2 linked regions of the Canis lupus familiaris genome follow. Each later gene encodes a partner of the first gene's protein in a complex. Links are inferred from orthologs where the notes say so. Each region holds a gene or a part of one and is shown on either strand. Other genes may lie near its edges.

Region 1 (4,392 bases):
CCCCTGTGGGGAGCCTGATGCAGGACTCAATCCCAGGACTCCGGTATCATGCCCTAAGCTGAAGGCAGACATTCAACCACTGAGCCACCAGGCGTCCCTATTTTTACACTTTAATAGATGAAAAAAAAAAAAAAAATGAGGTTCAGAAAGGTTGACCTCCCTTAGTACCTAGTGTAGAAGGATAATCTCCTGAGATACTGAGTTTTTATTTTCCTTCAGTTTCCCCCAAAGGCAGCGAGGTCCTTTGTAGTTCTTGCTGTAGCTTTTTCAGAGGTAGAAGGAAGCAATAGCTACTTGTTGGCAACTATCTCATGAAAGCCTGAGCTCATTTTGGAGATTATGTTTCCTGAAGAAGCAGAGCAGGGATTGCCTTGGAGAATAGTGACAGAGAACATCAGAAAGAGGGACACTGTTCCAGGCTAGGAAGAGGTAGTGGGTCATGGATAGCTTGGATTACATAAATTATATATCCAGCTCCCTAGGAGCCCCTGGGGCAGAAGCATAGCCTTTGCTGGAAACTTTATGTGGTATACCAGGGAGCCTGGACTCATGGCTGTGTCCCAAGTGTGATGTATGAACAAACAGTTGCCAATGTCAAGGGACCATGTAGGTTTATACGGTAGCATCTTAAAAGGAAGTAAAAAACAGTGATAGATAAAACAAAATTGGATCCTAGGAAAGGATCCTTTTTGAATGTTTTGCTCGGGGTTAGACTTGGATCTCTGTCAAAAGTCTTAACATTTGTTAAATCTTTTTATTTATGGGATTGGCATTATGGGATTCTAGATGAGATGATGAATAGATTAAAAAAATATGGCCCTTCACAATTTATATTGACCTCCATTTTAACATTTATAATCAAGGGGATAAACTAGATCTCAAATATCAGGGGTCTCAGGCAAGAGAATTGGAATGGATTAAGCATAAAGAACAGAGAAGATAAAAAATCGGTAATTCTCAACCTTTAGTGTGCACAAGAATCACATGGGGAGTTTATTTGAAATGCGATCTCTTGAACTCCCTCCTGATATCTGGATTCAATGGCAGTAGGGTGAAGTCTAGAAATCTTCATTTTAATAACATCAGTGATTCTGATGCTACTAATCAGTGGACACATGGCTGTAATTGTTGAACATCACTATAATTCTCATTTGCTGAATAAGTGATATGTACCAATCTTAACCCTAACTAACGAAAGGCTAATTCATCCATGGCATCAACATTCTGGAGATATGGGCTCTTCTCAACTTTCATAAGCCCAGGACACAATGAGTAATAATGGAAAAGTTTTCCTGCATCATTGCAGAACTGGACTCAGCTAGTACTACTCTTTTTGTTTAAAATATCTGGAGGACAAGGAAAGAAATTATAAATTACATTTTTCTCACAGACTAGATTTAATCTTTTGGCTCTATTGAACATCTAAATGGAAAATGGAAGATAACAGTAATATCTAAGGGAGATTCTGTATCTAATCCATCTAATGTTCTATCAAGGCAGATAACAGTAACATGGTAATTTATCATAGGTTTGTTTAAAATAAATGTTTATTTTACTGTCATCCAATTCATTTGAGTCTCTTACTTCCCACAAAGAAAACTCTTAGGCAATGCCTTATACCAACCTTCCACCTTATCTACACTATCAGTACACAGGGAGCCCAGAGACCCAGTATTATGATTCTAAAATGCTGAAAAAGGACAAATATGTGTTAAGTACAAATATTTATGTAGTGCCTAGTCTTTGGAAAGCACCGTTATTAAAGCAGAGAAATAGACTAATAACTTTCTGATACTTTTTTTTTTCTGATGGACTCTTAACAAGTACTAAAATGTAAAGACTTTGCTATAATCAACTTTCTAAAACTTTTTTCAAATTTTTATTTAAATTCCAGTTGGTTAACATATAGTGTAATATTGGTTTCAATAGCTGAATTTAATGATTCATCACTTACATATTAACACTCTGTGCTCATAAGAAGCGCCCTCCTTAATACTCATTACCTATTTAGACCATTGGCCACCCACCTCCCTCCATCTACTCTAATTAGTATTTTATCTAAAAACTGACTAGTCCAAGGCCGCTAAACTGGTCACCACTATTATCCCCGTAAGACTGTATGTATTCAGGTTTATAGTCTGCAAAGCATTTTACCATATTGTTCTGCTTTTACGTGTAGTATTTACCGGACTTTCAGAATTTTATTCAATATTCGCTCATCATTTACCAGCACTTGGTATTCGACAGACCCCAGGGTAATTAAGATGCAGTCGCGTTCTCCGGAATCTACAACCCAACCGAGGTCAGGACAAAAAAGGCAGGTAATTTAAAGGCAGAATTAGTGTGCCATAAAAACAAAACGAAAACAAACAGAAGACGTAAGAAAAGCCAAACTTAACCTAGCCAAGAGAAGTGTGGGAAGGCTTCCGGAGTAAGTGACGTTTAAACGAATACTTGAAAAAAAAAAAAAAAATAAACGAATACTTGAAAGAGGAGAATTTGGTGGGGTGGAGATTGCACGGTAGTATTTCAAGTTGAAAGCCAGCTCAAAGGCCAGGAGGCAAGAGAAAAGAAACTGCAAGCGGTCGGGACCGGACTTTAGGTCTCCCGCTTTCTCTCCGCCTCTTTCCACAACTTGGGGCTTCACTGGTTGCGCCCTGCACGGACCTGGGAGTCTGTTCGCTTTAGATTCTGAAAGCCCGTCATTTCAGAAGCGTCCGTAAATACACGGAGGCTGCAGACATCACGACTCCTACCGCCCCGGGTTCCCCCTACCTTGGACGCTTCCCCCGCTCTCGCCGGCACCACACCCGCGTCCTCCCGCTCAGCCCCGGCCGCACGCCCGAGCGCCGCCATCTTGGCGGGTCACATGACTGGCGGTGGGCGGGGACCCAGAGCGCCCGGAGCGGGAAGCGGTGCCGGCTCACGCCTCTCGCCTGCAGCCCGGCCCTCCCCGGCCCAGTCAAAAGCCGCGCCCTCCATCCTGGCTGTGATTGGGCGCGGCGTCCAGAGAGGAGGGCGGCCCATTGGCTTCGCGGGGTCCAGACGCCCGTGGGCCCGCCTTCTCGCCAGCCCAGCCTTCCCTTTCCCTGCTCCGTGTTAGCCGAGCTCCCCCTTGCCTCCTGCCGAGGGGTGCGTGGGGGCGGTCCGAGCGCGAGGATGTGGCTGCGCGCTCTCCTCCCCTCTGGGCACCTCGGTTAGCTGGGCCGAGCCGCCCGGCCTCTTCGCTCCTTGGGGGAGTCCTCCCCTCTGGCCTGGCTCGTGTGTTGAGGCTCCGGCTCCCCGGGCACCTCCTGCCCAGAGCTCGCAGCCGGCAGCCGGCGCGGCCCCGAGCAGCCTCCCCGCCCCCCGCCGCGGTCTGGCTCCTCTCCCGGCCGTTAGTCCCCTCGTATTCCGTCCTTTCACCCCGCTCGGAGAGGGGCCCGGGGGAATTCAACCCCCACTGCCCAGGAAGACCCCTCTGCCGGCCGGTGTTCCGGGGTGCGGGCGGGGGCGCTGCGAGGAGGCCTGGCGCCCTTTTGTGCACGTTCAGTGCCCAGCAGTACCTCCCAGACCAGCACCCCCGACCCTCCAGTCTCCATGTCTTAGAGAAGCCAAATTCGAGAGTTATATAATTTCTAGTGCTGCTGTCTCTCCTGCCTGAGGAAACACTTCATCGCGTGGAGGGTGCAGGACATTTCTGTGCACTTCTATATAAGAACGGGGTGTGGGCAGGGGTGGCCAGCGGTAGCAGAGAGATTGCTGGTCTTTTCTGCAAGAGGAAGGTGGGTAGTTTGGAGAGAGATGGAGAGAAAGGGTGGATGTGGAAGCCAAGCAGCAGAACTCTGATGTAGGAGATCGCGAACCGTTTCCACAGCTTGTGCTCACATGCCTAATACTACCACATCGTCTCAGAAAACACCTCTGGGGGAAGGTTTGACTTCTCTCGAACAGTCTCAGTGTTTTTCCTCGCCGGGTAGGGAGCTGCTTGGATGCGAAGAGATGGCATGATGTGAATGACTCCAGTGTGAAGAAATCTGCTTCGCCAACTCATCCTGCATCAAGTGCCCATTGAGTAGCGCTGTCACTTTAATGTCTCCATGCCAAGGGATTGCTTTCCTTCTTTTCAATCCTCTCGGTTAATACATGGGAGGATCAGAATCAGAGGGGCATTAAGGATTAAGCCCGAGGGGCTTGGAGAGCACAGAAGAAAAAAATGAAAGTGACAGCAAGCTGGATCCTGTCTTACTGAGGGGGTGAGATCTGGAACTTCTGGTCCAGTAAATAAAAAGGGGCCTTTCAGTCTGTGTTCTGCCCCCAGAAAACTGTTCAAACTCACCCACCTTTTCAGAGACCAGAGTCAAAAGGCTTCTAAAAGTATTTTTTTGTTGTTGTTGTTGAGGAGGGGATTAC
Region 2 (4,283 bases), on another chromosome or scaffold:
ATGCTCAACCACTGAGCCACCTGGGCTGCCCGGTTTGTTACTTCTATGCAAATATGAAATAGAGGGGGAAAAAAGTGCCTTAGAAATAAAGCACAAGTAAGAATGAGGAACATTCAAGGAACAAGTATCAAAGTGTAAGAATCTACGGATTTTTAATATTATACACGACACACCGACTGACGCTCACACATGCTCATATGTCCTTGTCTCCAACAATCTAGTCATTTCTACTGTCAGAACCCTGCATGGAATTCAAGAGTGATGGGGACTAAAGTCACCATGACCAACTGTCAGAAAATTCTTCTCTATGATCATCGAGGCAGGGTCTTCCTCACAGGGTTGTAACTCAGGACCATCAACAAAGTGCCCGATTCCACCGCTCAGAGGGGACGCCCCACTCTTCACAAATGTGCTCTCAGGTACGCAGGGCCGGGCAGGGTAGGGCAAGGTAGGGTAGGGCCGGGTAGGGTAGGACAGGGTAGGGTAGGGCAGGGCCATCCAAGCCGGGCAGGGTAGAGTAGGGTAGAGTAGGGCAGGGCCAGGTAGGGCCAGGTAGGGCAGGGGAGGGGAGGGCCAGGCAGGGTAGGGCAAGGTAGGGCAGGGCCGACTGGGCCTGGCAGGGTAGAGTAGGGCAGGGTAGGGTAGGGCAGCGCAGTGTAGGGCAGGGCCACGCAGAGTAGGGTAGGGTAGGGTAGGACCGGGTAGGGTAGAGCAGCGCAGTGTAGGGCAGGGCCACGCAGGGTAGAGTAGGGTAGGGTAGGACCGGGTAGGGTAGGGCAGCACAGTGTAGGGCAGGACCACGCAGAGTAGGGTAGGACCGGGTAGGGTAGAGCAGCGCAGTGTAGGGCAGGGCCACGCAGGGTAGATAGAGTAGGGTAGGGTAGGACCGGGTAGGGTAGGGCAGCGCAGTGTAGGGCAGGGCCACGCAGAGTAGGGTAGGGTAGGGTAGGGTAGGACCGGGTAGGGTAGGGCGGCGCAGTGTAGGGCAGGGCCACGCAGGGTAGGGTAGGGTAGGGTAGGGTAGGACCGGGTAGGGTAGGGCGGCGCAGTGTAGGGCAGGGCCACGCAGGGTAGGGTAGGGTAGGGTAGGGTAGGACCGGGTAGGGTAGGGCAGCGCAGTGTAGGGCAGGGCCACGCAGAGTAGGGTAGGGTAGGGTAGGGTAGGACCGGGTAGGGTAGGGCGGCGCAGTGTAGGGCAGGGCCACGCAGGGTAGGGTAGGGTAGGGTAGGGTAGGACCGGGTAGGGTAGGGCGGCGCAGTGTAGGGCAGGGCCACGCAGAGTAGGGTAGGGTAGGGTAGGGTAGGACCGGGTAGGGTAGGGCGGCGCAGTGTAGGGCAGGGCCACGCAGGGTAGGGTAGGGTAGGGTAGGGTAGGACCGGGTAGGGTAGGGCAGCGCAGTGTAGGGCAGGGCCACGCAGAGTAGGGTAGGGTAGGGTAGGGTAGGACCGGGTAGGGTAGGGCGGCGCAGTGTAGGGCAGGGCCACGCAGGGTAGGGTAGGGTAGGGTAGGGTAGGACCGGGTAGGGTAGGGCGGCGCAGTGTAGGGCAGGGCCACGCAGAGTAGGGTAGGGTAGGGTAGGGTAGGACCGGGTAGGGTAGGGCAGCGCAGTGTAGGGCAGGGCCACGCAGAGTAGGGTAGGGTACGGTAGGGTAGGACCGGGTAGGGTAGGGCAGCGCAGTGTAGGGCAGGGCCACGCAGGGTAGGGTAGGGTAGGGTAGGGTAGGACCGGGTAGGGTAGGGCAGCGCAGTGTAGGGCAGGGCCACGCAGAGTAGGGTAGGGTACGGTAGGGTAGGACCGGGTAGGGTAGGGCGGCGCAGTGTAGGGCAGGGCCAGCCGGGCAGGGTAGAGTAGGGTAGAGTAGGGTAGGGCCAGGCAGGGTAGGGCAGGGTAGGGCAGCGCAGGGTAGGGTAGGACAGGGCTAGGTAGGGCAGGGTAGGGCAGGGCAGGGTAGGGCAGCTTAGGGCGGGGCAGGGCCACCTGCTGGCGGCCCCGAACCCCCGAACCCCGGGGCAGGCGGGCGAGGGGGGCACCCTGCAGCCCCTGGCAGCCTCCTGCAGCACCCGGCAGCCCCCTGCAGCCTCCTAGGGCGCTGCGCCCACAGGGGCCCCGACACCACGCAGGCAGCAGGCGGGTTGCCCCCGCGACCAAGCCCCGGGAGGAGACCCCCGCCGGCAGCCCCGTCGCGCACACACACACACACACACACACACACACACACGCAACCGTGCAGGCTGCGGCGACAAACGTCTCCGAGGGTGAAAGGAACGCGAGGCTCGGAGCCGCGGGGGCGCTGACCTTTCCGGGCCGCAACCGCGCGCCGCAGGAAGCGCGCGCCTGCCTTCCTTCCGGGGGCGGAAGTGCGGGTACGCGCGCCCCCAGGCCGGCCCGCCCCGCGAGGAGCAGCGGAGACTTCCGGCGCGGCGTCCCCGCGGGCTAGAGCGTCCGGACGCGCCGGGGCGGGGGCGGGGGCGGGGGCGGGGGCGGGGCACGCCGGGCCAGGTCGGAGTCGCGGGCCGAGGCCGCCGCGGACGCTCGGCCCCGCCCGGGGAGCGAGGTGGGCCCCGCAGAGCCCGCCCTTCTGTCCCGCCCCGCGCCGCGCCGCTGCGGCAGCCCCCGCGGAGCCCACTCGCCGCCTTCGCCTGACACACGGCAGCACGACAGTCTTATCCATCCAATCGCTGCGAAATGCCTACGGCGCTCCAGGGAATGCGAGGGCAAGAAGAAGAAGAAGAAAAAAAAAGAAAAACGTAGACGACTTGAGTTAAGTAGCGCGAGGAACGGTAACAGCATTTTTACCCGGTGCGTTTGTTCCAAGGATGTAAAGCGCTCAGGTGGCGTCTGGGCCTCCGCGGTCGTACGCCGCAGCCGTGCCCACCGCCCTGTTGGTCGTCCTGCCGTCACCGCGTAGGAGGATGGCGGCCTGGGAAGCCCTCGGCTGAGGAAGAATTCTTGAGAGGACTTCCGTGCAAAAGAGGTGGGTTTGGGTTTTTTTTTTTTTTTTTAAGATTTTACTTATTTATTCATAGACACAGAGAGAGAGAGAGACCCAGGCCGAGGGAGAAGCAGGCTCCACGCAGGAGCCCGACGCGGGACTCGATCCCGTGACCCCGGGGTCACGACCTGGGCCGAAGGCGGGTGCTTAACCGCTGAGCCCCCCGGGGATCCCCAAGAGGTGGTTTTCATTAAACGTCTACTGACAGGACCTGTGGACAGAAAGCTGCATGGGGTCGTGAGGGGTAGTAATTATACACCTTCAACTTGGGGTGGGGGGCGATAGTCTCTAAGTCTGTAAGTTTCAAAGGAATTCTGGAAACAAGGTTGCCAGGACCTTGAAGGCGTTAGTTATTGTTGGGAAAAGGTCATATATTATTGTCTAATAAACCCTTAGGGCGCCCGGGTGGCTCTGCGGTTTAGCGCCACCTTCCGCCCAGGTCGTGACCCCGGGGTCGTGGGATCGAGTCCCGCATCAGGCTCCCTGCGTAGAGCCTGCTTCTCCCTCTGCCTGTGTCTCTGCGTGTTGTGTGTGTGTGTCTCTCATGAATAAACAAATAAAATCTTAAAAAAAAAAGATAAAAAAAGAAAACATTGATCATAAGACACCCCACCCCCCCCACCCCCCCGCCAGATACGTATCCATAGGTCCTGTGCTTGGAAGATGGTTGCTAACATGTATCTTGACTCCAGAATAAAAATAAAGGAAGTTTCCAAAGGAATTTTTATATGTTAAAGAAGACCTGCAGGGTCCTGGCGGGTCAGGCCAAGGTTGCCCTTTTGCCCTTAGCAAAGCCAACATGGGGGCCGCTGAGCCCGTAGAAGAATGTCACTCCGCCCGTTTCAAGGACTCGTCAATGGGCTGCAAGTAGGGAGGGAATTAATTTTCCTTCTGCCTTTGTTTCCCACATGATTATCGCCACTATTACCATCATTATTGACTTTTTTTTCTTTTCACGTAAGTTTGAAGTCCAGGTACCTTTCCTCCAAAAAAGTAGGGTCTCGGCATTGGTGGGTCCCCTAAATTTGATGTGTTACATGACCGGACTAGTCAAGTGTAATCTCATGTCGTTTAAACCTGGAGCTCACCCTCTTTCTGAAGTTCTTATGGGGATATCTAATACGTTTCCTTATTTTCTGATAGAGGTGAAGATAAAATGAGTTTAGGTAGCGCTAGTAATGTTGTAAGTGCCCAAAATTATTAGCTATTGTTGTTGAGACAGGGATTCTACTTCTTAGAGCCACAAGTATCCTTATCTGGATTCTCTCTCTCTCTCTCTCTCTCTCTCT

The links. Proteins that work in one complex are often made in the same cells at the same time.
Region 2: TMEM126B (region 1) and COA1 share a complex: the UniProt entries of both Homo sapiens proteins name them as parts of the mitochondrial complex. The link is inferred for Canis lupus familiaris from reciprocal best matches to the Homo sapiens genes TMEM126B and COA1.

The regions. Positions count from the first base shown.
Region 1 is NC_049242.1:13,911,805-13,916,196, forward strand, and holds the start of TMEM126B (complex I assembly factor TMEM126B, mitochondrial), read right to left. Parts: upstream 2,930-4,392; 5' UTR 2,857-2,929; coding exon 2,776-2,856; intron 1-2,775. UniProt on the Homo sapiens protein: As part of the MCIA complex, involved in the assembly of the mitochondrial complex I. Participates in constructing the membrane arm of complex I.
Region 2 is NC_049239.1:6,614,880-6,619,162, reverse strand, and holds the start of COA1 (cytochrome c oxidase assembly factor 1 homolog), read right to left. Parts: upstream 2,818-4,283; 5' UTR 2,799-2,817; exon of another isoform or gene 2,563-2,798; intron 2,383-2,562; exon of another isoform or gene 2,298-2,382; intron 420-2,297; coding exon of another isoform or gene 408-419; exon of another isoform or gene 393-407; intron 1-392. UniProt on the Homo sapiens protein: Component of the MITRAC (mitochondrial translation regulation assembly intermediate of cytochrome c oxidase complex) complex, that regulates cytochrome c oxidase assembly.